Linked DNA regions of Anolis sagrei. The protein of the gene in region 3 interacts with the protein of the main gene of each other region in a pairwise test. Links are inferred from orthologs where the notes say so. Each region holds a gene or a part of one and is shown on either strand. Other genes may lie near its edges.

Evidence for each region.
Region 1: the proteins of KHDRBS2 (region 3) and NCOA5 interact in a two-hybrid assay, tested with the Homo sapiens proteins (2 studies listed by BioGRID). The two-hybrid records come from large-scale screens. The link is inferred for Anolis sagrei from reciprocal best matches to the Homo sapiens genes KHDRBS2 and NCOA5.
Region 2: the proteins of KHDRBS2 (region 3) and DOCK2 interact in binary tests that used the Homo sapiens proteins (3 or more experiments, as listed by UniProt). The two-hybrid records come from large-scale screens. The link is inferred for Anolis sagrei from reciprocal best matches to the Homo sapiens genes KHDRBS2 and DOCK2.

Annotation. Positions count from the first base shown.
Region 1 is NC_090024.1:248,049,904-248,060,544, reverse strand, and holds the start of NCOA5 (nuclear receptor coactivator 5), read right to left. Parts: upstream 4,042-10,641; 5' UTR 3,946-4,041; intron 1-3,945. UniProt on the Homo sapiens protein: Nuclear receptor coregulator that can have both coactivator and corepressor functions.
Region 2 is NC_090022.1:104,833,655-104,843,904, forward strand, and holds the start of DOCK2 (dedicator of cytokinesis protein 2), read right to left. Parts: upstream 4,373-10,250; 5' UTR 4,239-4,372; coding exon 4,199-4,238; intron 1-4,198. UniProt on the Homo sapiens protein: Involved in cytoskeletal rearrangements required for lymphocyte migration in response of chemokines. Activates RAC1 and RAC2, but not CDC42, by functioning as a guanine nucleotide exchange factor (GEF), which exchanges bound GDP for free GTP.
Region 3 is NC_090021.1:117,774,830-117,785,065, forward strand, and holds the start of KHDRBS2 (KH domain-containing, RNA-binding, signal transduction-associated protein 2), read left to right. Parts: upstream 1-5,173; 5' UTR 5,174-5,262; coding exon 5,263-5,353; intron 5,354-10,236. UniProt on the Homo sapiens protein: RNA-binding protein that plays a role in the regulation of alternative splicing and influences mRNA splice site selection and exon inclusion. Binds both poly(A) and poly(U) homopolymers. Phosphorylation by PTK6 inhibits its RNA-binding ability.

The DNA.
Region 1 (10,641 bases), on a different chromosome or scaffold from region 3:
AAACAAAATATAATTTCTCTTTCAAAACAGCTGAACAGCAAATTTAAAATCCAACCGCCTTTAATCTGCTACAATATCAGTGGCTTCCATTTCCAGTTTATCTATCCAAACCACAGCCCTAGACCTTTCTGCCTCCTGCCTAACAGCACTCTCTGGAAAAGGCTACTCTCTGTGGCACCCAGTCTTTGCTAAATCCCACCTCCACAGTGGAGGAGTGAGACCAAGGAACTATCAGAGAAGAATATGAGCTTATCTCTCTCCAAACTCTTTCAAGGCTAAGCTTGGGAAGAGAGCTGGCCCTTGAAAATATGGGAAGGGATCCTGGGTCACCAGGCATAATCCCAGTGAAGCCATTTTGAGGCTATGCTGACCATATCTCCTTGGGGGGGGGGGGGGGAGAGGAAGGGACAGGGCCTACATTACTAATTGCAGCAATAATATGTTTCATGCTTATGTCTATGTTTGATGTTTTTATAGTTTAGTTTTTTATCTGCAGTTATGTTATTGATTTAGATATGTGATATTTTAATATAAATGTGAATTTGCCATTTATTATGTTTTAAACCGCTTTGAGTCCCCCCCCAGGGGTGAGAAAAGCGGTAAACAAATGTTGTTAATAATAATAATAAATAAATAATTCTGCAAAAAAAAAAGAGGTTCAGATGTGCCTTAGGACTTGGCCCAGAAAAGGATGGAACTTTTGCCCTTGGCATGCTCATAGAGGGTGGAGCCTTCTGCCTCTGCATTGAGGGTCCCTGCTTTGTTGGAACCAAAAAATCATTTGTTATGAACGAATGCAACGCTCGTAGCATCTTACCCAGTCCTACCATGCCCCCCCCCCCCTTTATGGGCAGCACCACTATCAGCATCAAGGTCAGCCAACCTGCCTCATCAGCTTCTCTGGAAAAAGGAATTCAAAGTAGGTCACATCATAGGTGCATGTATGGATGTGTATTACTACTACTGCTATTTCTTAACTGCCTGTCTACACAGATAACGTGGGGAATAACACTGCATTAAACTACCTTACATACCACCAGTTAAAAATATGGATAACATGAACATAAGAGCGTGCAAGATCAATATATAGGCAAACAATTGATCCATAGTTTAAATTCATTATCTAAATTCATCCTTTAAATACCATCTGTTGGAAGAGACAATCTTTCTTGCTATTTTAAATTCAGGCAGTGCATCCAGCTGAGTGGAGTAACCATCTCCCTGAGGTGGATTATATGGGAGGAGGGGATACTGGGCTCAGACCATGCAGGTCTTCAAAGGTAAGAATCAAGAGTTCTCTGTACTTTGTTCAGAAACGTAACTGGCAACCAGTTTAATATAATTGTAATATCACCACTCCAAGATGTAATAATGACCAATCTGACTAAAATAAAATATAGCTAAAAACAATTGTAAATATGAACATGTAAAGCAATATAAACAACCTTCAACAGGATCCTGTTGGTGGACAATGTTCTCTTTGAAGCAAATCCTCAGGTGAAGGAACCCGCTTTCCCAACACAAGACAAATGGTGGATAAATATCTGTGATATCCCCAAAATGGAGAGTCCGACTATGCTGATTATGGAGAATTTTTTGCTCAAATATTGGGACTTGCTCATTTTCATAATAATGATGGGAGGAAATGCCAACTATAGGATTAATGAATTTCTACCAGAAGTAGAAATGTAATTATATATTAGCATCTAAAGAGAAATTTATTTTTATTTAACTTGTCAAAAGCAAATTGAGAATACAGTTACAATGTATAGAAAAACCTCAAAGTTAAAACATGGCATAGGGAATAGAATAATAAGGGATAAAAATAATCAGATTGTGAGGAGGAGTTTTATAAAATTATTTCCTTGGCTGTCTGTTTGTTAGCGGAGTTTGTGCAAGTCTACCTGAATAAAATCTTTTTATTCAGGCAGGCTTTTAAACAAGCCAGGGAGTGCTATGGGTTTTAGCTTTGAACATGTTTTTATTCATTTTTTAAGGATTTTGACTATTTTTAGCACAATTAATATTTAATACTATTTCAATGTTTTTATATTTTTATGTTTTAAATTGTATTGCATTTAGTTTTATTGTAAGCTGCTTTGAGTCTCTTTTGTAGCGAGAAAGCGGGGTATTAATAAACATAATAAGATTAATAATAGGTGTGTTTTGTCTGTTTTAGTTTTGTAGTTTGTTGTAGTAGCTAACAATAATTTTATTCCTTACCCATCTCTCCTCATTGTATATACAATATATTACTTATCATTACTATATTATTATACAATAAATATATTACATAAATATATTATGTTTTTATATAATTATAATTGTAATAGATTACACGGTGTGACACTGTGATTTTTGTTCCTGGGTGATAAATGTCACTATTTCCTGGTCCATGAGGTCACGAAGAGTCGGAGATGACTGAACGAATGAACAACAAAACTATTATTATTATTCAGTTCTTGTGGGTTTTTTCGGGCTATATGGCCATGTTCTAGAGGCATTTCTCCTGACGTTTCGCCTGCATCTATGGCAAGCATCCTCAGAGGTCTGATTATTATTATTATTATTATTAGAGTCTGAATTTACTTCAACCCAGTTTGTGGCAGCCACAAAATCAACCAAGTTCCTGGAGTAGAGCAACTATTTTCAAAGCAAGGTCCGCACCATGAAACAGGAAATCACACTTTCAAACCAGGGACAGAACATTTTTCAAATTTTGACATAATAGTGTTTACTAGCTGTCCCCTGCCAGGCGTTGCTGTGGCCCAGTCTGTTGATCTGGGAAATAAAATAATGTGAAAGTGTTTGTTTCCAATATATGTAATTTCTTTCTGCTTGTGGGTAAACAGTATTTCTTGCTGTTTCTTTGTCAGTGTTGATGTGGAGAGTGTCTGGTTTGCCTACTCTGGAACATGCAACATATAATTGTACTTCTTTAGAGGTCCCTTTGAAATCTATGATACTGCATCTGTCACATACATATATGTGTGTGTCTGTGAATCATATATTTCTATCTATATCTATGGCTGGATGGCTCTTTGTCAGGAGGGCTTTGATTACGTTTTCTTGCCCCGATGAAGGGAGTTGGATTGGGTGGCCTTAAGTATTTTCTGATCGTCATAAGGGTTCTGTGTGGGAAGTCTGCCCCGATTCTGTCATTCGTGGGGTTCTGAATGCTCTTTGATTGTAGGTGAACTGTGAATCTCAGTAACTACAACTCCCAAATGTCAGGGTCTATTTCCCCCAAACTCCATCTGTGTTCATATTTGGGTGCGTTGAGTATTCATGTCCAGATCCATCATTGTTTGAGTCCACAGTGCTCTCTGGATATAGGTGAACTACAACTCCCAAACTCAAGGTCAATGCCCACTAAATCCTTTCAGTATTTTCTGTTGCTCATGGGGGTTCTGTGTGGGAAGTTTGCCCCAATTCTGTCATTGGTGGAGTTCAGAATGCTCTTTGATTGTGGGTGAACTATAAATCCCAGCAACTACAACTCCCAAATGATAAACTCATAATGTTTTGAGTGATGGTCACTCCTTGTGTAGTGAGACGTTTTGTTGCCAAATTTGGTGTGATTTCGTTCATTGGTTCTTTTGTTTTTAAGGCACTCATTATGCACAGAGCATTTATATATAGATAGATATAGGGAAGTGCGTCATCAGGAGGGGACGCGGGTGCCTTCCTTGTCGCGCCAACCACTGCGCAGGCGCAGAAAGGAACCGAGCCCAGCCCTTGCCGCTCCGCCGCCGACGCGCATGCGCAACATGGCCGTCCGCTCTCGCGCATGCGCACAGCTCGGCGTGTGTGGGGGAGGGGTAGGAGGAGTTGCGCGCGCACTCTCGCCTCAGAAAGAGAATTCGCCCGGCCCGGCCAAGTAACCGACGGGGAAAGCCCCTTTGCCCCGGCCTCCCGCTTTCCCCTCCGCGGCCCTGCACTCACCGAGGAGGCCTGCGCGGGTCTCTCACCAGCGACGAAGACAAAAGGGCGCCCAACGGAAACCACGGCTTCGCTCGCTCTCGTTCTGTCTCAAAGCGCAGGCGCCCACGCCGAGCGGTGATTGGCTGCTCGCGGAGGGGCGTGGCTCCGCCGCTTCTCCAATCGGAATTCCGGCCTCTGCAAGCTCCGGCCAATCACCAGTCGGGGGCGTGGCTAGCGGGATGCCATCTAGTTCAACCCCCTTCTGACTTCCTGCAGGAAAAGCATAATCAAAGCACCCCTGCCAGATGGCCATCCAGCCTCCGCTTTAGTATTATTACTATTATTATTATTATTATTGGTACTACTCTTTATTATTATAGATAGATAATAAGAGTTGGGGGAGACCTCTAAAGGCCATCTAGTCCAACCCCCTTCTACCTTCCTGCAGGAAAAGTACAATCAAAGAACCCCTGCCAGATGGCCATCCAGCCTCCGCTTTAGTATTATTACTATTATTATTGCTACTACTCTTTATTATTATAGATAGATAATAAGAGTTGGGAGGGACCTCCAAAGGCCATCTAGTCCAACCCCCTTCTGCCTTCCTGCAGGAAAAGCACAATCAAAGCACCCCTGGCAGATGGCCATCCAGCCTCTGCGTTATTATTATTATTATTATTATTATCATTATTATTATTATTATTATTAATATTATTATTATTGCTACTACTCTTTATTATTATAGATAGATAATAAGAGTTGGGAGGGACCTCTAAAGGCCATCTAGTCCAACCCCCTTCTGCCTTCCTGCAGGAAAAGCACAATCAAAGCACCCCTGCCAGATGGCCATCCAGCCTCCGCTTTATTACATTATTATTATTATTATTATTATTATTATTATTGGTACTACTCTTTATTATTATAGATAGATAATAAGAGTTGGGGGAGACCTCTAAAGGCCATCTAGTCCAACCCCCTTCTACCTTCCTGCAGGAAAAGTACAATCAAAGAACCCCTGGCAGATGGCCATCCAGCCTCCGCTTTAGTATTATTATTATTATTGGTACTACTCTTTATTACTATGGATAGATAATAAGAGTTGGGAGGGACCTCTAAAGGCCATCTAGTCCAACCCCCTTCTGCCTTCCTGCAGGAAAAGCACAACCAAAGCACCCCTGCCAGATGGCCATCCAGCCTCCGCTTTATTACTATTATTATTATCAGTATTATTATTGCTACTACTCTTTATTATTATAGATAGATAATAAGAATTGGGAGGGACCACTAAAGGCCATCTAGTCCAACCCCCTTCTGCCTTCCTGCAGGAAAAGCACCATCAAAGCACCCCTGCCAGATGGCCATCCAGCCTTCGCTTTATTATTATTATTATTATTATTATTATTATTGACACCATTTTCTAAGCCAGTCATTGACCTGTACTATTTTTCTGGCCCTTGTAGGACCGTGTTTTACGACTGGGAGGAGGGATGAAAAGACCACCTGTACATTACATTGTTTTAGCTTTGTTCCGAGAGCTCGAAAATCATTTGTGATCTTTCAAAAAGTATGCCTAGCAGTATCATTGGTTCCTACATGAACCAATGATAATTCAGATAATTCTCCCAAAGGTGCCTCCTTCCTTCCAGTGGAAAGTCCCCTGCTCACCATGAGTTGCAGCTGGTTGATGTCTCAATCTTGCTCCCTTTCCCCAAACACTGCAAGCTATCTATCTATCTATCTATCTATTTATCTATGGCTGGATGGGTCTTTGTCAGGAGGGCTTTGATTATGTTTTCTTGCCCTGGTGAAGGGAGTTGGACTGAATGGCCTTAAGTATTTTCTGTTGGTCATGGGGGTTCTGTGTGGGAAGTTCGGCCCAATTCTGTCGTTGGTGGAGTCCAGAACACCCTTTGATTATAGGTGAACTATAAATCCCAGTAGCTACAACTCCCAAATGTCAAGGTCTATTTCTCCCAAACTCAATCTATGTTCATATTTGGGCATATGGGATATTCATGCCAAGTTTTGGTCTAGATCCATCATTGTTTGAGTCCATAGTCTTCTCTGGATGTAGGGGAACTACAACTCCCACACTCAAGGTCAATGCCTACTAAACCCTAGAATTCCCTCTGGAACTGCCCTGGCATGACCTGCGGGCCTTGCCCTTCTCCAGTTCTTGGATGGGAAGCCTTCTTCCTTGTGTCATTCCCCGTGGATCCTGTTGGCATCCGTTGGTTGGCTCATCCGTGTTTCCAGCCACAAAGGTCACTTCACAAGGCAGGCTTTGTGCTTTGTTCCCTGCTGAGCGCCAGGAGTTCGGTTGCCCAGTTTCTCTTGGAAGGGGATATAAAGGCAGGAGGTGGCAGAGCTGGAGCTTCACTGGTCTTGCCTCACCATGAAGTCCTCAACCGGCTTCATCATCATCATCCTCCTCGCTCTCCTGGCCTCCTCTGCCGTGACGCCCGCTCCCCCTGGGCAAGGTGAGTAGTCCAACTGCATCAATAGGAGGATAGTGTCTAGATCTAAGGAAGTAATGCTCTCCATGCTCTATTCTGCTTTGGTTAGACCACATCTGGAATATTGTGTCCAATTCTGGGCACCACACTTCAAGAGAGATATTGACTCTAAGCTGGAATGTGTCCAGAGGAGGGAGACTCAAATGATCAAGGATCTGGAGAACAAGCCCTATGAGGAGCGGCTTAAGGAGCTGGGCATGTTTAGCCTGAGGAAAAGAAGGCTGAGAGGAGATATGATGAGGGCCATGTATAAATATGTGAGAGGAAGCCACAGGGAGGAGGGAGCAAGCTTCTTTTCTGCTTCCTTGGAGACTAGGACGCAATGGAACAATGGCTTCAAACTACAAGAGAGGAGATTCCACCTGAACATGAGGAAGAACTTCCTGACTGGGAGAGCCGTTCAGCAGTGGAACTCTCTGCCCCAGAGGGAGTGTGGTGGAGGCTCCTTCTTTGGAAGCTTTTAAGCAGAGGCTGGATGGCCATCTGTCAGGGGTGATTTGAATGCAATATTCCTGCTTCTTGGCAGAATGGGGTTGGACTGGATGGCCCATGAGGTCTCTTCCAACTCTTGGATTCTATGATTCCCTGGGAATCCCCTTGAAGGCACCTCTGATCTCATTCTAGATTATTATTTATTATAATTAAACTTTATTTGTACCCCACTAGCATCTCCCGGAGGATTCGATGCGGCTTACAACAGGCCGAGGCCGCAACAATACAACATAACAATATAAACACGCAAATCAAGCAAGTAAAACAAAGCAAAAATAAACAACAAGCAAAATACATTAAAACACAGTAAAACTGGGCCGGGCCAAAAGGTGGGTACAAGCGTTAAAAGTGCTGATGTGACAGGAGGTGTATAAAGGGCTTCTAGGGCAAGTGCGATGTGCAATGTGCATCAATCAGTTCTGGTAAAGTGCTTGTAGGACTCGGTAGTGGAGATTTCCTAATCTGGGAAGGCGCATCGGAAAAGCCAAGTTTTTAAGTTCTTTCTGAAGATAGCCAATGAGGGGGCCTGTCTAAGGTCTTTGGGGAGGGTGTTCCAGAGTTGGGGGGCCACTACGGAAAAGGCCCTGCCCCGCGTCCCCACCAAACGCGCTTGCGACGCAGGTGGGATCACGAGCAGGGCCTCTCCAGATGACCGAAGAGAACGCGTGGGTTCGTAGATGGAGATGCGGTCACGCAGGTAGGCTGGTCCCAAACCGTTCAGGGCTTTGTAGGTAAGCACCTGCACCTTGAATTGGGCTCGGAATATGAACGGCAGCCAGTGGAGTTCCTTAAACAGGAGGGTTGACCTCTCTCTGTAAGGGGCCCCCATTAGCATCCTGGCTGCCGATCATTGGACCAGTTGGAGCTTCTGAGCCGTCTTCAAGGGCAGCCCCACGTAGAGCGCATTGCAGTAATCCAATCTGGATCTCGCTTCTCATACATGCACGCTCTGGGCCAGCTTCCTTCCTCTGACCCTCCAGGTCCCTCAAGGCCTAGAGACCAGACCAGACCAGAGCATGGCAGAACGGGCCAGATTGTGGAGGTCAAGAGGCCCCACTGACCATCATCCCTGCTGTTTCCTCCTCAGGAGTGGTTGCTCCTCTGCTTCCCACCCACTGACACCACACAATTGCTCGCATCCCAGCTGGCAGTTGCGGTCCTTTGTTATCTCAGAAAATCCCTCCAACTTGAAGACAGAAGGATCTTACTTTAAAAGTGGAGAACAGGGCACTACGGTCTGGCCTTGTCAGAACCAGGTGCCAGTGATATCGAGCTGCTTTTTGTAGGGTCTCCCGGCGGAGGAGATCCCTGAGGACCGCTCAAAAGGGCCCTGGACCTTTGGTGAGGCTAGCGAGAGCCAATCCAAAGAGTAAAAAATATTACAAATAATAATGCCTCATCCAAGTGGAAGAAGTTTTTCAGCAACCGAGGTTTATTTGTGATTCAGCTGAGATAAGATGCATTGCAGGAATCATTCCACTGCAAGCATAATTTTCAAGCATTTTTATAGTACACAGACAAAGGAAAACAGTTTCAAAACTCCCGCCCACCCTCTGTCAGCCGGCTTCGTGCTGATTGGCTGGCCACGGAACAGCTGGGAGGAGGCTTGGCAGCACGCCTCGCCTCCGGACCAATCAGCGGGCTCCGCTGCCTCTGGGAGGCCAATCAGTGCCTTCCTAGCGCCTCTGAAGATGGACCAATCGGCAGCTAGGAGGCGGGACGAAGCCAACAATGGCTGAGGAAATGATCAGCTTAGGGGCATCCGCCAGCTGGAATGTGTGGCTTTGTCCTCACTTGGCGGGGTGTCAGATAGAGGAACAATGAGTTTCCTGGTCTGTTGATGGGATTTGGGAAGAAATATGAAAAGGCTTTTTCGGTATCGGACCTCAAAGGGGGATCAACAATACCTGGTTGATTAAATCAGTCTTTGTTTCCGAGTTCCTGCTGACCCCCTCCCCTCGCTGGTCTGCTCTGAGGGCCAGGGTTGGGGGGAAACAACAGTATGGTCCATGCAAATGAAACAATCGGGAAGAGTTTTGGGAGGACAAAGGAGTTCCTCTTCAAGACAGTAATCCCCAGGTCACATCTTTATGGGGCAAGGGTCAAAGGGAAAGGCGGGAAGGGGAAACACAGCACATTCTATATGATATTTCATTACATACATTTCATATATTTCATAAGGCAATCCCATCCCCATCCCCAGCAAAGTTTATTAAAACAGCTCGTTTTTCTATTATTTGAAATAAATTCATGGTCTCCTGGTGAAGGCACACGGAAACGGAGGCTGCTTGCTCTTCAGGGCAAGCCTGATCTGAAGGTTTGTGTCCAAAGATATGGCAGAAAACAGTCCGGGACGTGGAGCAGAAAGTCAATAGGAGAGGGCAAAAAGAGTCCAAGGAGGATTTCCGGGTTGCAATGGTGGGGCAGTGTCCTTGTCTGTCCTTTGGAAAACTATGTCTCCCAGGTCAGAGACCGGGACCCGTGCCTGGCTGCCTTCCCGGGGTCTCCTGCGGGTGGCCGCAGTGGGTCCCCGGTTGCTGGATCCAGGCAGGGAGCGAGCAGCGCTGAGGAGAAACGGGCTGTCTTGGAAGAACCCGGCCAAATTGACAAACAGCTGATTTCTGTCAAAGTAAAATACTTTAAACAAAATGATTATTCCCCGAGCGCAGGAGTCCAAAATGAGGAAAACATGATGGCAGTTAGTCTTAGAATTAAGAGCAGAAAAATACAAAATTTGAACGGCGTCAATCCGCCATTTTACTGTTTTAGTGGGTACTGGGGTCCAAAATGGCGGTTTCCGTATCCGCGATTCTTCCGAACGCAGATCCAGGGTCCAGGGGGGGGCAGTGGGCGCCCCCCAGCAGGCTCACGGCTCTTCAGAGCCTGGAAAAAGGGTTATTTTAATGTTGAATTAGTCTGAGGCAGGAAAAGATACAAAAGTATCAAGCGGAAAGATTAAATGTTGCAAGTTTCAAGTGCTTTATTAGGGAAATGATACAATGTAAGGAGAAGGGGAAAGCAAAAGAAAGCTGCAGGCATTCCTGGTTTTGAGCTGGCTGCTGGGGCACATTTCATCTGTTGGTCCCCAAAACTTGGTCCAGGAACTGCGGAACTCTCCGCTGCAGCTCACACCAATGTGAAGGCGGGGCTCCCTGCCGTGCTCGGGCTCACCAGTAGAAGAACACAACACGCATGCGCTTTGCATTAAAACTGGGTTGTTGTAGGTTTCTCAGACTGTATGGCCATGTTCTAGAACAGTGGTTCTCAACCCGGGGGTCACGACCCCCAGAAGGGTCGATTGGCTGTTTCCAAGGGGTCATGACGCCACCTCCTTTGGCCCCACCCCCTCAGCCTCCCTGCAATGGCTGCCCGGACAGAGACACCAGCAAGACCTGCCTTTGTCCCTCTCCCTCCCTCTAGAACAGTGGTTCTCAACCTTCCTAATGCCGTGACCCCTAAATCCAGTTCCTTGTGTTGTGGTGACCCCCAACCATATTTCCATCGCTACTTCATAACTGATACTATTATGAATCATAATGGAAATATCTGATATGCAGGATGTATTTTCATTACAAATTGGAACATAATTAATGCAAAATTAATTAATGTTTGGAGGAGTGTGGACAATGGATGATGGGATCTGCAGTACCTTCAACTGACTCAGCTCTGACTTCCACAGACCACTGAGACCCCCACAAATAACATACAT
Region 2 (10,250 bases), on a different chromosome or scaffold from region 3:
TACATTAGATTTCTAGAGCTGCACCAACAGATAATGTTAGCTTATAGAGTCTTAAAAACCAGCTTCTCTTCCTCTTACTCACTTTCTCCGCCCCAGCGTAGGCCTAGATTCCACCATAGCTTTGAGGAACCTATTCACCCCCTAGTTGCTTTTTCCAATTTCAAACAACCAGAGTGAATGAATCTTCATGAATCTTAAATATCAACACTATCAATATTCATTTGCCAAGACATGACTAGAGTTTGGGCAAGTGTTGCCTTAAGGCACTGGTGAACAAAATGCAGTTCTCTGGATATTGGGCTGCAGCCCCTATCAGCCTTAGTTGGCACAATGGTGTGAAATGATGGGAGTTCATCTCCATCAATATCTGCAGAGACATACTTCAGGCTACCCTGGATTTATATAGTCCTATTTGCAGAAATTAGCAAAGTAAAGCAAAATAACTTTAAATATTCCTGCTTCAAAAGCAAATGTCCCTGCCTAGGCATTGGGACTTTTCTGCACAAAATGTACTGTTTTCAATCATACTAGTGAGTGTCTGAAGTTAAGGATGCACCAGGAGCTCCATATGTCTGAGGGGCAAGGAAATATTTACAGCAAAATTGTACTTTCTAGTGTTATCTATGGGAATATGCTGTCTTGGCAATACACTGAAGACAAACCAAACATATAGATTTTGTTTAAATGAGCTGTATACATTGTCAATGGCACTGATTTTATCTGTAAGCTTTGCTCTTTATCTAGATTCTGATGCTAGTTCAAATTAGGTCTACCTTACAACTTACTATTGATTGACTCCAGTGAAAAATGAGAAAAACTTAGCTCCTGATCTAAGAAACCCTAAGGAATCTCCTTAGACAAGATGGGTGGGTGGGTAGGTGGAGAGGATGTGGACATAGGGGTGCAGCTTTGATAAGGAAGCAAAATGAAGACTTTGCCCTCCAAATAGGAATTCTGCTCCCAATGCAATTTCCCTTGAATTTCTATAGAGGAAAATGCAGAAAGAATCAACTGAAATAATAGGCATTCACAGCATGATGAAAATGAAAAATTCATACTGCTGTTTCAAGGCCGGCCTAAATATATCAGCCACAGTTGTAGACTCACAACTTCCCTTTGCAATATTTATTTGTCCATGTTTTGCCTCATCATCATTTTTACAGGGGATGCGAACAAGAACAACTGAACAATTCAATCTCCACCAAAGTTTAAAAAATTCAAGTTGTAAAATTAATAGGACAATAAATCAACTTCTGGAGTATTTGGTGGACTGATCTAAACTATTATATGATTTTCTGTTCAGGACAACTACTTTTTAGATCAGGCTTTTAAAATCTCAGTAGTCATTAAAAACAAACATCTAACATTTAACAACTCATTTCTCTCTAACTGCATGATTTGAGAACTACAAAGGTGAAAGCAGAACAGATGGTCTGCATTATGAAATGTACATTTGCATGTCATAGGCAATGCCTCATTTTGTTCCCGCTTTACCATACAAAGCAACCTTATATTCACTTGAAAAGCCTGGGTGGGGAGCTCAACTATTAGAAAGAAATTGGATTTAGAGGATATCTTGGTGGTGTGGGATCTGCAAAAGCATGGCTCCTGCCTGCAGCTTACATCTGCGATAGCAGAACACACGGGAAGAGACCATATGATGACTTTTGCTGATGCCAACTTCAAAATGTAGGGAATTATACTGATACCAGTTTGAAAATGAGATACAATTTCACCTGTTTGTTGTTAGTGACCAAACAGCATGGCAAGACATACATAATAAAAGTACATCTTCCCCATATATGTGGGGAAAGGGGAAAGACTAATTGAAGCATTTAAAACAGAAAGGAAAAATTCTGGACCCAGACATTACACAGGCCCAACCTAGAGCACTGGTTCTCAACCTGTGGGTCTCCAGGTGTTTTAGCCTACAACTCCCAGAAATCTCAGGCAGTTTACAACCTATTAGGATTTCTGGGAGTTGGAGGCCAAAACATCTGGGGACACACACAGGTTGAGAACCACTGACCTGGAGCCTATGTAGTTAAGAATATGAATACTGATGTGTTTTAAGCTGCCTTGACTACAAGTTTATTTTTATTTTAAGCAACTGACAAAGACAGAAGCAAAGCATTCTAATCACAGTAGAATCAAAGAGCTGGGCATGTTTAGCCTGAAGAAGAGACGGCTGAGAGGAGACATGATAGCCATGTATACATATGTGAGAGGAAGTCATATGGAGGAGGGAGCAAGCTTCCTTTCTGCTGCCCTGGAGACTAGGATGAGGAACAATGGCTTCAAACTACATGAAAAGGGATTCCATCTGAACATTAGGAAGAACTTCCTGACTGTGAGAGCCGTTCAGCAGTGGAACTCTCTGTCCCAGTGTGGTGGGGGCTCCTTCTTTGGAAGCTTTTAAACAGAGGCTGGATGGCCATCTCTTGGGGGTGCTTTGAATGCAATTTTCCTGCTTCTTGGGGGTTTGACTGGATGGCCCATGGGGTCTCTTCCAGCTCTATGATTCCATGATTCTACAGTGAATTACTGTAATAAATAAATGTTTGCTGCACCTCACTGGGTTCTACTTGTGTAAACAGATTTTTGTTCATTTTTAAATCATACGCACATAAAAACACCAAGAATAAGTTGAAAATGTGCAGTCCAAAGGATGAATCTTTTTTGTTGTAAAGAAGGCTACATTGTTTTTTTTAAAAAGTGTTGTCAACATTCCTTAGTAACGATGTCAATTTTTCCTATCTTGAGTTGTCAACAGAAAATATGAAATAGTGAGAGAGAAACCTCTTTTGGGGAGCAATGAGCAATGAAAGAGAGAGTGAAGGAGGTCTTCAGCACAGAGGTCATCTACACAAGGACATTCCCTCTCAGGTATCTACAGGTCAGAACTGCTGATGGCATTGTCTGAAAACAAGTTTTTGTGAATATAAAGTTAGTGAGCCCAGTAGCTCTTTTCCATAATCAGTGATCTTTTCCATAACAAAATGAATATGTTGACCAGATTGGATTAAAATGCTATCTGTGAATTTGTTATGACTGAATACTTTAGTTTCTCTTTAGATGGTATAAATCTTTCACTTGAACATCTTCTCTGCTGCCATGGATTTCAAAGTGGAATAAAGTGGAGCTATTAAGAATCCCATGTTTCTAGAAAACGAGGGTAATGGACTTGACATGCCTTGAAGAACTCAAGAGATTTCTTCCCATTTGCACAAGAGAACTATTGTTTCAGCTCATTGCTTTTGCAATAGTAGCTAGCAAGCTTATTATGAGTTTTGAATTATTTTACAATATCGCCATATAATTTCTTTGAAACAGAAAAACATTTTGCTGCCAGCATTTCTTCCAGAAATCAAGTAGTTGTCTGACTCATTTCATGCAAAGGCAAACACATTGGAGCATGCATACTGTTCTGCCAGAAACATAGGAAGCTGCCTTACACCAAATCAAGCCATTATCCATTAAGCTCCATGTTAACTACCCTCATTGGCAGCAGCCTTCCAGGATTTTAGACAGCAGTCTTTGCAGGTCTTACATGGTAATACTGGAGACCAGATGTGGGATCTTCTGTTTCATTATGTAGATTAACATTTATGTTTACTGATTTAGTGCTTTCATACTTGGAAGTCCCCTTAACACAGAACAGTTTGTGCTTCCCTTTTAGTACCTGGAATCCCTAGTGGGTTAGTGGCTAAGCAATCTATATTGCTTCCTATGTACTTATTCTGGAGTAAAAAAAAGAACTCTTATGGCCTATCAATGTCTGCCTCTGAAAACATGTTTTCCCCTATTTCCTGTCTGTGCAAGAGCTTACAAGAAGACAAAATTACACAACTGAGTCAAAGCCTCAGAAGAACTTAGATGTTTAAACTTTCAACTGGGTTATCAAATGTTGAAGAAATGTTACTTTAAAATTAAATTTAATGTCAATCAGGTTATAATTTCCACCATGGGGTTCTGCCTTGAGACTCAGAAACCAGTACCAACTAAAGACACCTAGGAAGCAATTCATCCTTACAATCCTCTTCTAAGTGTATGCCCATAATGGGCCCATCAAAGCTGTGGCAAGCATCTCACTTGTTTTTCTGCATTGCTTTGCTGATCTAGCCACTTTATTTGCAGCACTTCTCCCCACACCCAGCAGAGGAAGAAAGACAAAAAGAGAAAGCTCTATCATACTTACCCACACCAACTTTCTTATCACTTTTGTGCCAAGGAGTCATTGCCCACAAATTCACCGTGGTTCAGTAGAAAGGCTGAATGGGAGCAGAGTCAGAATGCATAAAATCCAGCAGCATACGCATCTGGAGCCCAATGAATCAAAAGGCCACTTTAGCTACCGCTCCAGTAGCACTGATCTCTGCTCATCTCACAATCCCTCTACTTCCTTCCTCTTTCTCTAGCACTCGCCTTATTGTGCCTCTTTGATGCTAAAATGAAAGTGATCTTGCTATGTAGAGGAAGGGGTAATACTCGCTGGGTGTCTCACAAATAGGACAGGGAGAGTCACACATACATATAGGAACAAACATAAAGTGACTCCAAACTGATCAAATGAAACAGTTCAAATGTTTCATACAAGTGCAAAATCTTTACTTTTAAAAGTCCACATGTAGTCCATTCCTTGTCACTCAAACTCCATCTAGTTTTTCACCTTCTAGTGACTCCTTGTGTTAATTGCTTTTTGCTTTTAACATCCACTGCCTGTGATCTTCCCTGCATTCACTAACAGCCTTTTGCCATCAGTCTTGATCACCTGCTTTAAACATTAGAACATGTGCACGATGCCCCTTACAATTTGTGACTTATCCTTCAACCAATTATCCTTCAAGCCAACAGATTTGAGAAGTTATTTTGACTACATGCCAGAGTATGTTATTCATTATGGTACTAAACAGACTAGTATTCTTGTTTAATGTTTTCCTTTGCCAGATTCATGGCCACTTCCATTTCTTTCTTTCTTTTTGTTTAGTTGTATTTTATCTAAATTCTTACAGTACTCCAGTTTATACTCTCTAAACCATGCAACTTACATTACCATCTTTAAGGTAATGAAAAAGAAGGAAAGATGGGTTGAATCTCAGAACACTAAAATCTTAGTGGGAGCCCTTCCTCTTTAAAAAAAAAAAGAAAAGGGTAAATCCCTGAAAGCTGCAATGGTCCCAATCTAACCTAGATAAACATGTATTGTATGGAAAAGAGTTAGTGAAGATGGCATGCTATTTATATAATAAACGCTTCTATCAATATACAGTTCATTCAAGTGTATATAAGAGTTGGTGTTTCCCAGGGGAAGTTTAGGAAGAGTCTAGGGGAGAATTTTGCCTCAGTTGTTCCCTCACCACCCCCCCCCCCCACCACCACACACACACAGTTCTCACAAAGTTTGATGCAGTTCAATAGATTAATAGTCAACCAGGTTTCTTGTCTCTTTATTCTTATGGTGTCAGCAATTAATCAAATTGACTGCTGTCACATCATAATAGAGACATAAGAAACATGAAACATGGGTGGATAAGGACCACTTTGCCTGTTGCTGTTACCTGTTTTGTCGCCCATTGCACCATACTATGCTCACAGATCAGCACACAAAGCCTCTCTGCACAGAATATAAAATCTGGGGGGGGGGGGGGGGGGGACATGTACAGCCAACATTAACACTTAAATGTATATTACTTGTAAGCGAAAGATCTCCAATACCCAACACCTTAATTGTATACACTGTATTTATTACGCTAGTTATATATGGTTTATGTAATGTGGGTTATTTGTTTATCTGTTTTATTTGGGGTTATGGTGTTATGTTTTTTGTGTCATGTAATTTCTGTTGTTTTAACCATTGTTTGCCGCTTTGAGTCCCACCAATGGAAGAAAAGTCAAATAATAATAATAATAATAATAATAATGCTCATTCATGACAGGAGATCAAACTGCTATCCCAGCTCTCTACTGATTGATCTTGGAGGCATAAGCACGGCCTGCTGTTTGAGCAACAGAACAGCCCTTATTTATTTATTTATTTATTTATTTATTTATTTCGGGTACTTTTACCCTGCCCTTCTCAACCCCTGACTCAGGGCGGCTTACAAAAAAGGCATAATTCGATGCCTACATAGAATACATATACATATAAAACAGCAATCAACAATTATCACAGTTAAAACAGTCAGTATATAACACAATCAATAAAAATAAAACACAATCAATAAAAACTAATCTCAAGCTCAGCGTTTGTCTTTCAGAGTTCCATAATTCCATTCCACTTTGTCAATTCCTGTCCATCGTCGAAATCCTTCTTTATCTGCCTGATTGTCCGAATGCCTGGTCCCAAATCCATGTTTTCAGTTTTTTCCTGAAGGAAAGGAGGGATGTCGCTGTTCTAATTTCCCCGGGGAGTGAATTCCACCGGTGAGGGGCCACCACCGAGAAGGCCCTGCTCCTCGTCCCGCCAATCTCACTTGTGAAAGAGGCGGGGTCGAGAGCAGGGCCTCCCCAGAAGACCTTAGACTTCGAGGTGGGATGTAGAGGGAGATCCGTTCGGACAGATATTAGAAGTGTCATTCCAAAATGAAACCACTGGCTCAGAAGACCCCAGAGACCTTTGAAATACTTACAAGGATTACTGGGCATAAAAACAGCAAAACCTGCAGGATCTCAATTAGGAACCACACAGAGGCCCTCAAAGGTCTAATCAGGGCCTACGGAGCCCAACAAACCTAACTAGGGCCTGCAGAGGCCTACTTGGGATTTTTGATAACTGGAGGCCTAAATGTGTCCTACTGGATCAATAAGGAGCTGGCAAGGACAGCGCAGGCGCGAAGTCTAAATGGCATTGTAAAACTTTTGGAAGCCAGGGAGATACCTTAAGGCACATCAACTGTTGTAAAAAGACCTAAACGGGGCAGAGATCTGCCACAAGCTAGTAGTGGGGATAAGCTACTCTACTATCCCAAGATCCACCACAAAGTTGTTCCTGCGAGTACCCATTAACACATTGCAGGGCCATCATTAGCCAGAATGAGCTGTAGCAGGCCAAAAGGAAGGAGCTTCATTAATGAACTCTCCAGTTGCAGTAGGTGACAAACCAATAGGTGGTGGGGTTCGTAATTGGTAGGCGGTTGCCTGTTAGTCTTCTGTGAGCACCGAGCGAGGAACATGCATGCTTGTGTTACCACCGTGTAGGCACCTCCTAGTCAAGGCCAGTTTTGCGAGGCTGTCTCTACTTCTTCCCTCATTCATCTCCACTTCCCTGTCTATTCTGATTTGAACTGAAATATATGACAGATAAACCAGTTCAAAACGGGTAATTGTGGGATTTCTTATCTTGATATTCTGGGTTATATGGCTATGTGGAAGGGCCCTGAATCCACACTGCCATATAATCCAGTTCAATGTGGATTTTATACAGCTGTGTAGAAGGGGCCTGGGACACACATGCACGTCCCACAATTAATCACTGGGGGCTCTTCCACACATATTTGTATCTCACCCTTCTCACTCTAAAAAAGAGGACTCGGGGAGGCCTTACAGCAGGCAGCGATTCAATGACAATACATATAAATATAGAAATGAACAAACACAATTAAAACCATCCAATTAAATGTTAGTTATTAAAACATCAATTAAAATCATGTAATCCAGATCATAGTCCAAAGCCTGTCCAATTGTCAATTCCATTAGTCTGTTATCCTTATTGCACTATTTACTGGTTGAATGCTTGGTCCCCTCAGCCACATCTTAAGCTTCTTCCTGAAAGATAGGAGGGAGGGAGGTGACCTGATGAAGGGACATTATTATTATTATTATGTCTCTTATGCAGGAGGGGCACCATTGTGTCCCTAGTGCAGGGGTGCAGGAATAGCAATGTACCACTAGGGGGGACTGGCAAGCCATACCTCCGGGGAACATAGCAGATTCCAGTCCCCTGACGTTTATGCTTCACACCTTTCTGGCAAGGGGATGCAGGGGGCATCATGACCTGGGACTGATAGTGGGCTGCAGGCTACCTCACCTTAGGATGAGCTCACCTCTAGCCAATCACTCTGCCAATGATGTAATCCAACCCACTGTCACCAGGCAAGCTTTGCAAAGAGCACAAGAAAGATATATAAACAGCTTGGCTGATCAATAAACTTTGAGGTCACTTCTTCACCCCCCTTGACTGTCTGGTGGTTTTCTTCATGCGTCTCCAACAACCTGATCCACATTGAACTGGATTATATGGCAGTGTGGGCTCAGGACTCCTACATACAGCCATATAAACCAGAATATCAAGCTAAAAAATCCCACAATATCTGTTTTTAACTGGGTTATTAAGAGACCACACTGCCATATATTCCAGCTCAAAGCAGATAATGTGGGATTTAATTCAGCTGTGTGGAAGGGGTCTTAGTATCATTAGGTGTCTCCACTGAAACTTTATCACCAATCCTTGTTTACACAAGCCAATTTTGTTTAAAAAAACCCAAAATCGCTAGGAGTTGGAAAGGAATCTTATGGGGTCAGATTCAGTGGGGAAAGAGGAAATTCCTAAAGGAGCAACTTTAAAAATAAAGCAAATCTAGCACTTTTTACTTGGGCTGGGTGGGCTGAAGTGTGAGAAATTATGGAAAATATGATTGAATCTTATTCTTTTGAGGAGTTTTGGCATAACCCCCCCCCCCCCATTTTTATACTAAAATTCGAGGAATCACCTTGAGCTATCCGCTGCTCTTCTCAGCAACTTATTTATGTGAACAAGGGTTTTCAGTTTTGCTGGTAATTAAAAACAAGTCTAGGAATTGATTGAAAGTGATGCTATGCATGTAGCTTTGAGCAATATTAGCCCCAGGATTACCCAACTTGTAAAGAAGATGCAAGCTCAAAAATCACATTGATGCAAACCGAATTTAATTTTCTATTTTAAATGTTTTTATATTATAACTAGCTGTGCCCTGCCACGCGTTGCTGTGGCCTATAGTAAGAATTTTCGAGGTAGAGGTAGATATCTGGAATATTATGAAAGAGAGGTACCTACCTATTCCTTCCCTCTTTTTCTTTCCCTTCCCCTTTGTCTCCTTTCTTCCTTCCCTATCTTTTTCTTTCATTCCTTCTTTCGCTCTTTGGTTTCATCCTTCCTTCTCTCTTTCCTTCCTTCACCCCCCCCCCCTTTCTCTACTTCTTCATCTCCTTTCTTCCTTCTTTCTCCTTTCCTTCCTTCTTTCACTTTTTTATTTCCTTTTCTCCTTCCTTCTTTACTTCTTTCCTGCATTTACCTCCATTTTTCTTTCCTTTCTACTTTCTCTTCCTTCCTTCAGTACCTCTTGCTTTCCTTCCTTCCCTCCTTCCTTCTTTCCCCCCCTTTCTTTTTCCTTCCTTCCCCCTTTCCTTCCGCCCTTTCTTCTCTCCTTCCATGTGTTCTTCCCCAATACCATGGTAGAGTCCCTTCTAACTCTATTCTATGAGTCTATTTAATATAGTAATATATAGTAGTAGCATTATATAAAAGTATATATAACAATATATGTATGTATTATATAGTATATATATGTATGTGTAATATATAAAGTATTGTAATTATATATTACACACACACACAGAGCAGCCAGTGATCCAACGTCCATCCATGTGTGTGTGTGTGTGTGTGTGCATGTGTCCACACTACCATATAATCCAGTCCTAAGTAGATAATCTGGATTTTACATGGCAGTGTGGAAGGGTTGACTTTGGGTGCATCTACACTGTAGTTTTAATAAAGGAGGATGAAGCTGGTGAGAGGAGAAGAAAAAGGAAGGAAAGAAAGGGAGGGAAGGAGAAGGAAGGGAAGTGGAGAAAGGGAGGGAGGGAAGGTGGGTAGGAGGGGGTTGGACCAGATGGCCTTTAGGGCTCCCTTTCAACTGGTTGGCCATCTGTTATGAGGGCTTTGATGGTTTCTTCCTTTACTGCCAAATGAGGTTGGGCTGGTCTTTAGGGCTCCTTTCCAAGCCATGTCAGTTTCGTGTGTCCGTATGACCCCTTCCTCCTTCCCTTATGCTGTGGGAGTGTGTGTGGGGAAGAGTCAAGAGTGTGTGCACAGTGTGGCCCGCCTCCCTTTTTTCCTTCCCCTCCCCCTCTCCTCCTCCTCCTCAGCCCTTTGATCCCTTGCCTTAGTGTTCGTTAGGGGCCGCAGTTGCTTCAGAACTTTCATTCTGTGTCCTCAGCGGGAGGGGGCAGGGGAGGTGTGTTGTCCTCTTCCTTTTTGGAATTTAAAGGTGTTT
Region 3 (10,236 bases):
AGGATGTATGGATCCAAGGAAATGGAATTATAAATCACTGTATATGCTGAAAAGATAGACATAAATGTTAGTGTTGCTTCTCAAAGAAATATTAGGGGAAATGTAATAGTTGAGCCAATGTAAAAGAAAATACCACAAGTGTTTAGAAATAGAGCACAATATTTTTTGCAATGGCAAACATGTGTGAATGCACACACACATGAACACATCCAGACACTTATATATAGTTTTAATTAAACTAAAATGAGTTTGTTTACTTCTGCTGTAGACAGTTTAATTACATGATAGCTTTAATTCTGTGATTTGAGGATGCAGATGCTTTCTAAAGCCACTGCTTCGAATGAAGCTGATGCAAGACTTTCTGAGCCAAAACAAAATCTACCACATCTTTTCCTTAATGTCCTATATATATGGAATGTTGAATTCTGAGATATTTATCACAAATTGAACACAAAGAAACTGGGGTCTTGAAGATACAATAGCATTAGCCATAACACATGGCGATTGGATGATGCTGTCAAAGAAAGGAAGCATTATTTGCTTAGTCCTTGCTTGTTTGATGCCTGTTACAAATGTATGGATCATAGGGAAGGGATCTATCAAATACTGCTTCAGTAATACATCTAATGGGGTCCACTGAACAGCAGATAAACTCATCTCCTGGTCTGTTCACTTTTATATAGGTTTTCCTGTCTTGTGTGTGCTTTCCAACAGAGCCACAGTATATTTGCTCCATAATTATGAGGCTATTATGTTCATATTAATATAAAAATGATTGGAGCAGATTCTTTCATCTAGTTCAGTGGTTTCCAACATATTGACTGTGGACCACCAGTAGTCTGCAAGAACTAAAATATGGTCCGTGGTATGGGCGAGCAAATGGTGACTACTGGATGGCATATGTTCTGTATCAGAAACTAGAGCTGATGTGGTCTATTCAATGCAATTTTCTGAATCAACACCCCAAATAACCAAACTGAATCTAAAGTTGACCAAAAACGGATTCATAACCATTTTGGTAATGTTGGAGAGTAGTCCCTGGTCAAAGTGGTCTCTGGCCAAATGGTCCCTGATTAAAAAAAAGGTTGGGAACCACTGATCTAGTTGGATGAAGAGATGGAGTGTGTCAGGGCTACAGATTTGCATCTGCCATGGATGTTACCATAGAACAGTGAATGGCCTACCTAGCTGTCCCCCATTAAAAAGAAAACAGAATCAACCTGGAATAATTCACCTATTGGCCATTTACTGGATGTGTTGCTGGATAAAATACATTCAGTTGAAGCTGGTGTCATAATGTAGTTATTTTAATCTTTTGAATATTGTTATTTTGATCTTTTGATCCAAAAATGGTTCTTAAGGCATTGAACGCCAGCCTTCAATACTTGTGAAGTTGAATGAGTAATATTCCAATGTAGTTTAGTGTAAGAATTGTCAATATCCCTTCAAAGAGACTCAGTGCAGTCTAAATATAATGTTTACTTTAAAGCTTCCTCTCAGGTTTTCGAGAGGTCTAAATCCATTACCATAGTGACTGAGAAGTAGGCAAGAATGTCAAGAGAATAATTTTTCTAGTATGTCAACATTTTTTACAGCTTAAGCCTGTAAAAGAAAATCCAGAATTTATCAGATATGTGCCTATGGGCTATTTTCAGTCAGGAATTGCTGTGGGTGATGTCATGGTTGAAGTGTTCATGGGTGGGCATCCACAGAAGCTTTATAGATTGATACCTTTTTTTCCTGAAAACAATTGAATAGATTTTCTTTTTGGGACTGGTGGATTTGTATGGCCATTTTGAAATGTTGAATAATTTCCCATTCTGTAGAAATTGGTGTAATATGATGTAATAGCAATTAATAGTTGTTTCTGATTCCCTCCCTTCACACACTGCCACAGAGAGAGACTATTGCTTTAAAGTGAAAAGGTTTCCTTATTCGTTTCAGCAGAGGGAAGCCTTCCAGGTTGATTGCCTTCATAAAGTCTGTCTGGACTAAGTAGTCAGACTAGGTATGTGAACGGCAAAGGGTGCATCTACACTGTAGTATGAATGCAGTTTGACTCCACTTTAACAGTCATGCCTCAATGTTGTGGAACTGCAGTGTATAGTTTGCTGAGGCATCAGCATTCTTTGGCAGAGAAGGCAAAAGACCATGTAAAACCACAATGCCCATGATTACATAGCGTTGATATCAAACTGCATCAATTCCACAGTGTAGAGCAGGGGTCCTCAAACTAAGGCCCGAGGGCCAGATACAGACCTCCAAGGTCATTTACCCGGCCCTCGCTCAGGGTCAACCTAAGTCTGAAATGACTTGAAAGCACACAACAACAACAACAACAACAATCCTATCTCATCAGCCAAAAGCAGACCCACACTTCCCACTGAAATACTAATAAGTTTATATTTGTTAAAATTGTTCTTCATTTTAATTATTGTATTGTTTTTAAGCCTTTTTTGCACTACAAATAAGATATGTGCAGTTTACATAGGAATTCATTCATGTTATTTTCAAAATTCAGTCCTCCTCCCCCCAATAGTTTGAGGAACTGTGACCTGGCCCTCTGTTTAAAAAGTTTGAGGACCCCTGGTGTAGAGTAACCCAAAGTGAGTCTGCTGCTTAATGAAAGCACCAGGGTGTATGTTCACCATAGAAATAATGGAGTTTGACAGCACTATTATCTGTCATGGACCAATGCTGTGGAATCAGTGGAGTTGTAGTTTTACAAGGTATTTAAGGTTCTTTGGCTGGTGCCTCACCAAATTATGACTTCCAGGATGGCATGGCCTTGAGTCTTAGTGGTTCAAGTGGTGTCAAACTTCCTTAATCAAACATTGTGCATCAGGCATGGGCAAACTTGGGTCCTCCAGATGTTTTGGTCTTCAACTCCCACAATTCCTAACAGCCTAACCTAAGCTGTTAGGAAGAAACCTAGGTTTCTTCTCCTAAAGGAAGGAACCATAAAATAAACAAAATCTGGCTACCAGTATTTAAAAAAACCACTAAAATTATAACAGCAAATAAAGAACAACACTCAAACACGGGGGAACTCCAGACAAGAAACTATCAGGAACAACTAATCACCTCTCGTCAAAAGATTTCCCCAGGCAGTAACAAGCCACACCTAAAAACTGCCAGGCCATTTAATGCTAAGGAAGATGGCCAATAGCAACATTCACACTTGCCTCAAACAGACAAGAGTTCTTTTTCCCACCCTGGACATTCCACAGACATATACATCCAATTTTCCTAGTTCTGAAAGACCTTAAAACTTCTGAGGATGGCTGCCATAGATGCAGGCAAAATGTCAGGAGATAATACTTCTAGAACAGTGTTTCTCAACATGGCGGTTGAGACCCCTGTGGGGTCATGAGGGGTGTCAGAGGGGTCACCAAGACTATCAGAAAACACAGTCATGGGTGTTCTGTGTGGGAAGTTTGGCCCAATTCTATCATTGGTAGGGTTCAGAATGCTCTTTGATTGTAGGTAAACTATAAATCCCAGCAACTACAACTCCCAAATGACAAGGTCTATTTTCCTTAAACTCCACCAGTGTTACATTTGGGCATATTGACTATTTGTGCCAAGTTTGGTCCACATCCATCATTGTTTGAGTCCACAGTGCTCTCTGGATGTAGATGAACTATAACTAACTACAAAACTCAAGGTCAATGCCCACCAAGCTCTTCCGGTATTTTTTGTTGGTCATGGGAGTTTTGTGTGCCAAGTTTGCTTCAATTCCATCATTGGTGGAGTTCAGAACGCTCTTTGATGGGAAGTTTGACTATCAATCCCAGCAACTACAACTCCCAAATGACAAAAATCAATCCCCCTCAACCCCACCAGTATTTAAATTTGGGCATATGGTGTATTTGTGCCAAATTTGGTCCAGTGAATGAAAATACATCCTGCATACAGTATCAGATATATACACCACAATTCATAACAGTAGCAAAATTACAGTTACAAAGAGGCAACGAAAATACTTTTATGGTTTGGGGTCACCACAATATGAGGAATTCTATTAAGGGGTTGTGGCATTAGGAAGGTTGAGAACCACTGTTCTAGAACATGGCCATAGAGCCCAAAAAACCTACAACAACCCAACCTACTGGCTGTTAGGAACTATGGGAGCCAGGCCCGTAGCCAGGATTTCGTTTCGGGGGGGGGGGGGCTGATTTTTTTTCAGGGGGGGGGTTCGGGGGGGCTGAGTTTCGGGGGGGGGCTGAGTCTGAGTGAAAGAGGGTCTAGCCTAGCAAATCTTTTGTATCATTACCCCAATACCCCATGCATATGGGATATATTGAGTAGGGTGATCAGATCATGATATGAATAAACATAACAGTTTAAATAATGCACCAATAAGGCCTTTTCGCGAACCACCATGAGAATTTCGGGGGGGGGGGGGCTGAAGCCCCCCGAGCCGCCCCCCCCCCCCGGCTACATGCCTGATGGGAGCTGAAGTTCAAAACACTTGGAGGGCCGAAGTTTGCCCATACTTGGTGTAGATACATCTTTGGTCACTCTTTGAGATGAATCTGTCAGTGCATCCTTACACGAAAGAGGGATGGAGGGCTGGTGCCTGTGAAATAGAAGTCATAGGAGTGGAAGATGCAATGTCCCTTGGAAGGTGACAACTTTCTCCATGAATCTTCAGGGGCGGGCCCGGGGTATGGATTCTTGGAGGAAATCAACAGCCCTGGACAGAAGTAAAATATGCAGCGTCTGGGCTTGACTCGTTTTTCCTAAGGAGGGGAATCAAAGAGAGAGAAATCCAAAGCCGCAGCCCTTCCAAAGCCCTCAGACGCCCTTCGCTCCGCTTCAGCACCTTGGACAGCGAGCGGCGCGCTAAGTCCCTCCCTGATCCCCTTCCCGGCTTTTTTTTTTTTCCGCCCTTGCCTTTCACTTAAGGCGACGGGGTCGCGAGCCAATGGGAAGCCGCCGCTGCGCTTCACGCCCCGCCTTTCCAGCCCCCGCTGCCCAATGGGAAGGGCGGAGCGGTGGGTGGAACGCTCCTTCTCGCCCACCTCTCTAGTTAAGGCTCCTGCTCGGCGGCGCCTGTGGCTCAGTTAGAGAGGCGCGAGGCAGAGAAGCCGAGGCAGGCATCCCGGGGCGCGCGCGTGTGTCTGGCGGGAGGGGGGCGCGCGCTGTCCAGGGTCCTGCAGCCAAGGGAGGCTTGCTCCAAGTCCGAGGGAAGGCAAGGAGCTCCCCGCGCACCACCTTTCGGGCAGGCAGCCGATCCCAAGTGCTGCCCGGTCTACTATGGAAGAGGAGAAATACCTACCCGAGCTGATGGCCGAGAAAGATAGCCTGGATTCGTCCTTTGTTCACGCGATGCGCCTTTTGGCAGAAGGTAGGAGGACTTTGAGGGGGCTCCTCTCCTCTGGCTGCCTTTCTGAGCCAAGGAGAAGCGGTGGCTGTTGCTGCTGAGGATTGAAATGTTGCATAGGCACTCAGATCCTACATAGGGACTGAGATCTTGCATAGGGACTCAGCTCTTACATAGGGACTGAAATCTTTCCTAGGGAAGCATTGGGACTGAGATCTTGTGCGAGGCCTCGGACTAAAGGAAGGGGGTTTGAAAAGGGGGAGAGAAAGGCGAAGATAGTCTTTCCCTTCCCCGTTGAGGAAGAGCCAAGGAGCTCTGTTGTTCTGGTCTGAGATCTACATAGAGACAGAGGCTGCTGAGACCAATGAGTCTGGTGGGAGGATTCGCCTTAGAGAAAGTGAAGGAGGAAAGCAACTGAGGGTGTAGCATTAATGCAGTTCCACACCACTTTGCCTGCCATGGTTCAAAGGGGATTGAAGTTTCACAAGGTCTTTAGCTTTCTCTACCAAATAGTGCTGGTGCCTCGCTAAAATACAGCTGTTATGATTCCATAGCCATGGCAGTGAAAGTGGTGCCAAACTGCATTATTTCCACAGTGTAGATGCACTCCTCCATCACCCCAGTGTCCATAACCTTCATCCAACTGTACTATAGAAGTATAGAGTTTGTGTCAATGGCCCCTATGTCCCTACTATTGCTTCCAGAGGAAGAGATACTGATAGGTTTCAATGGCAACACCCTATACTCAAGAGGATGATTTGTGTCCTCATAGACTCACCTCTCCATCAATCCAGTTTGCAAACAAATCAGCAACAATTTGGCATTTTGTGAAAGAGATCCAACTCAGCCATCTTTTTCTTTCTTTTTTCTAAGATGTACATTATTTTAGAAAGATTTTTTTCCAGATCATAAAAGTTTTATATATATATATACTTGAGAAAGAAAATGGAATGGCAGTAGTAATCCAAACAAGGATTGTTTCTATTTTTGAGAGCTACATTTCAAGCAACTCTTCCTGCCCAGTGTTATGACTAGTTAAATCGTAGCAAATACCCTTCGCTTATTAAAAAACACTCAAGACTTTTACCATCATGGACAATCATTTCCATGGGAATTATTTGTTTTCATAGGAAGCTTTTATTTCTTTTCGTGCTCCCTTTTTTTTTTTTAGTAAGAACTGCTCTGTTATCAGGTGTACTACTTTTGTAGTGGAAAAAGCTTTTGGACTCCAATTTTTATTTACAGAAAGACAGATGCAAAGTGTTTCATTAAAGCTGTTCCATCTTGGGCTGTTGTGTTAAATGTCCATATTATATGGGAAGAGCTAAATCCATCACAATGCCTGTGATTCGTGTCATTCCAGTTCATTTCAGTCTACTCTTGTTCTGGATTTGTTAAGTTTGTCAACTGCCAGGTTTACCCCATTTTGCTAGAATATCAAACTCTTGTAGTCATGTCAGGACTAATTAATTGTTGAAGAACTCACGAGCAAGTTACCAGAACTTTCCAAGTTGTGCCTTTGAATAACTGTATCTGAGTGTTGTTGAAGGCTTTCATGGCCTGAATCACTGGGTTGCTGTGAGTTTTCCAGGCTGTATAGCCATGTTATGCTTCTGGAACATGGCCATACAGCCCAGAAAACTCACAGCAACTGAGACTGTATTTGAGTTGAGAAGCACAGAAAATCACCACCAAAAGTATTCTCCCTGATTTCATCCATTGTCCATGTTATTAATATCTGTCTGTAAAATATAGTTAAATTGTTTAGTTTGATAGTATTGCTTTCCCTTTCAATTATAATATGATACTGGATCTTCATCCCATGTTATTGTTAGACTTGGAAGGGTTTGTAATGAAATGAAGTCAAATGCAAATAATTTGATAGAGATCTAACAGTGTCTGTATATGGAAATAAGATGTCAATATTCCAAAGAATCTGAATAATTATCTTAAAAACATGTAAGCAGGCATCAAACATACTTTATTTTAAAAGTCTTCAGGCTCTCATTTTAAAAGGGGATGCCAGATTTGTAAATGAGAGCTTTCCCATCATATACTCTTTTTTAAAGTATAGATTCCCCGCCAGAAATATGATTTGTGTGTGTAATTTGAAATTTTCCCAGCAGGGGGAACTATCTGCTGAGACACAGTAAAATCAGAAGAAAAGTGAAGGGTAGAGGACTTTGGGGAGGAATAAAATGGGGGGGGGGGGAATACAAAACTCTGTGGTTATTTTAAAACCTTTTAATAAAAGTGAGCCCATGCAGATGTATTTACATCTACCTTTCCCATTCAAGCTAAAATTCAGCTGCAAATGATGCACATATTTTAATAAATGTGCTACTCCCCGACCCCCCTCAAGTGTAGCTGTAGGTTAGGATATGTGGATATTAAACACAGACTAAGGTGAGTTGCTTAAGAAAGCAAGAGAGAGTACTAATGTGGGATTCACACCAGCTACCTTGCATTATCCTTCAAAACACCATCTGTCAAGGTTTCTGGAACTGTGTTTCAGATTTATGCAAAAATATAAAATGTCTGAAAGGCAAACTTTCAATAAAATGAGCACACCTAGAGCTGTGAAAACTATAGGCAGAGTGATGCATTTTATGTTGAAAGATTACCATGATGCTATCACCATTTATTTGAATGTCAGCAAAAAAGAAGACTATAGAGCAATTATATTGTATTAGCCTTTAAAATGGCATCTCTTACAATAATATAATATTAGTATGGACTGTTTGCCATTTTTGGATTCAAGGAGAGGTCCTTGATAACTTACAAAGCCTTCTTACTGCAACATATGACAATTAAGTGTACAAGCAAAGTCTTGTTTTACAATGCCTGGCATTTTTCACTTCACTTTTTAATCCTTAGCAGTTGAAGTTAGGCAGACCTATGCAGCATCCTTAGAGGAAATATATGTGAAACAGAAACAGAAGACAGTTGTTTTTTTTTTAGATCTATAAAGTCCTCTTTTTTTCTAGGGCTGCTAAGACCAAGAACTTATTCTTATCCACTGTGTGCAATTTGTTTTTCTCCTCTAAAACCTTAGTTTCAGTGAAGAAAGAGACATTTTTTTCAAAAATCAATAAACTTTTGGGTCATTCAGGTATGTTAATGCCACCACTGCTCCCCAAAATTGTACAGTAATAGTTTGAAGATTCACTCTCTCAAACTGAGATAATTATTGAGTTTTTGTTTATTTCCTAAATTTCTTCCAACTAACTTTCTTGGGAACCAGTCCCACATGACCATGTATTGGATCGGGCAGTAATGCTAAATAAGTAGGAGGAAGCAGATTGGAGGAACAGATTTAATTGTCTGTAACAAAAGGTTACAGTGCTGATTCTTGCTAAAATCAAGTGCACCTTGATGTATTAATACTGCATTTGCGTGGAATTAAGTCTTATGAAAATTAATGGTCTACGTTATAATGTGATGACACATATCTGTATGTGTTTATATCTGAGACACAGTTTTCATTGGTTCATTTGAATCTTCCACTGATTTCAAAGGGAGAAACCTGCACCTAAATTGGGTTGGTTCTCAGGCAGAGTTTAATGCTCTGAAAACAAGAGCACATTGTCTAGAGCCAGTTCTATCAGCCTTAGAAATAACACCTTTAAATATTTAATATCGTAGATGAGCAGAAGTAGCCTATAAAACTCCACATCATACCAAACAACTTCTCCATACTAATCACGTTGCATTATGCGGCCACCTGTTATAGCAGGCAGAATAATTACTGGTCTTTTTAAGTTCATTGTTAACTGAATTAATCGTACAATATTTTGCAGTTAACCTTTCTAGCTGGCAGGTAAAAGATCATAGTACATCATTCAACCGTGTAGCTTTCAATGACTGTAAGGACGTTTAAGTACTCAGCAATAAGGATATTTAAACAGCTTCTTTTATGTGCCATATTTTATTATTATCGCAGCACTTTAGGCTACTGTACAGATTCCACATGCTCTTGTGATAGGCATCATAAAGGCAAATTTGATGTCATGTTTTAGAGAATATGAATAAACAAAAGTGAGTGGGAAGCAGTCTGAGAATATAAATGGAACATTAATTGGTTGCATTCATGACCTAGGAAATACTACCTGAAGCCCCATGCTATTGTTTGAAGATGCTTTGTTGTTGTTGTTGTTGTTGTTGTTGTTGTTGTTGTTGTTGTGTAATTAAATGTATCTAGAGAACAACAGCCACTTACAAAGTTATATGTACTGGAGAGGAAAAAGATACTTTAGTCACTTCATGGTCACTTTAGAATACTAAATCTATTGCTGAATTCTGAATCCAATATGTTACTCCTTTGGAAGAGATAACTCTGGAGTGTTAAAGTTCAGATATGTCTTCTCAATAATCAACATCAATCTGTTTTTGGGAAGAGAAGTAGAAAACACTCTTGCAATTCATAGGGCTCATGAAGCACAGTTTAGTAATCCTCCTGTGCAAATAAGTTGATGGAGACTTTAGATCTTCCAAACTCTGAAATATCAAAGGCAATTGATATTTTCCCAAAGACATTAGACTAGCACCCACGTTGGCAGTCTTTAGGAAGAACTTGAAGACTTGGTTATTCCGATGTGCCTTCCCAGAATAGGATAATCTCCAGCACTCTGTCCCAGAAGCACTTTATTAGAGTTTAATACTCTCTGCACATTGCACTTGCCCAGAACTCCAACATACCACCTCACACACCCAGCACTTTTTAACCTGTACCCATCATTGGCCCGGCCCTGATTTTATTGTGTAATAGTGTAATGTTTTGTTGTGTTATTGCTTATGTTTTTAATTTGCTGCATTGTTATTGTTTGTTGTTATTGTGTTGAGGCCTTGGCCTTTGTAAGCCACATCGAGTCCTTTGGGAGATGCTAGCGGGGTACAAATAAAGTTTA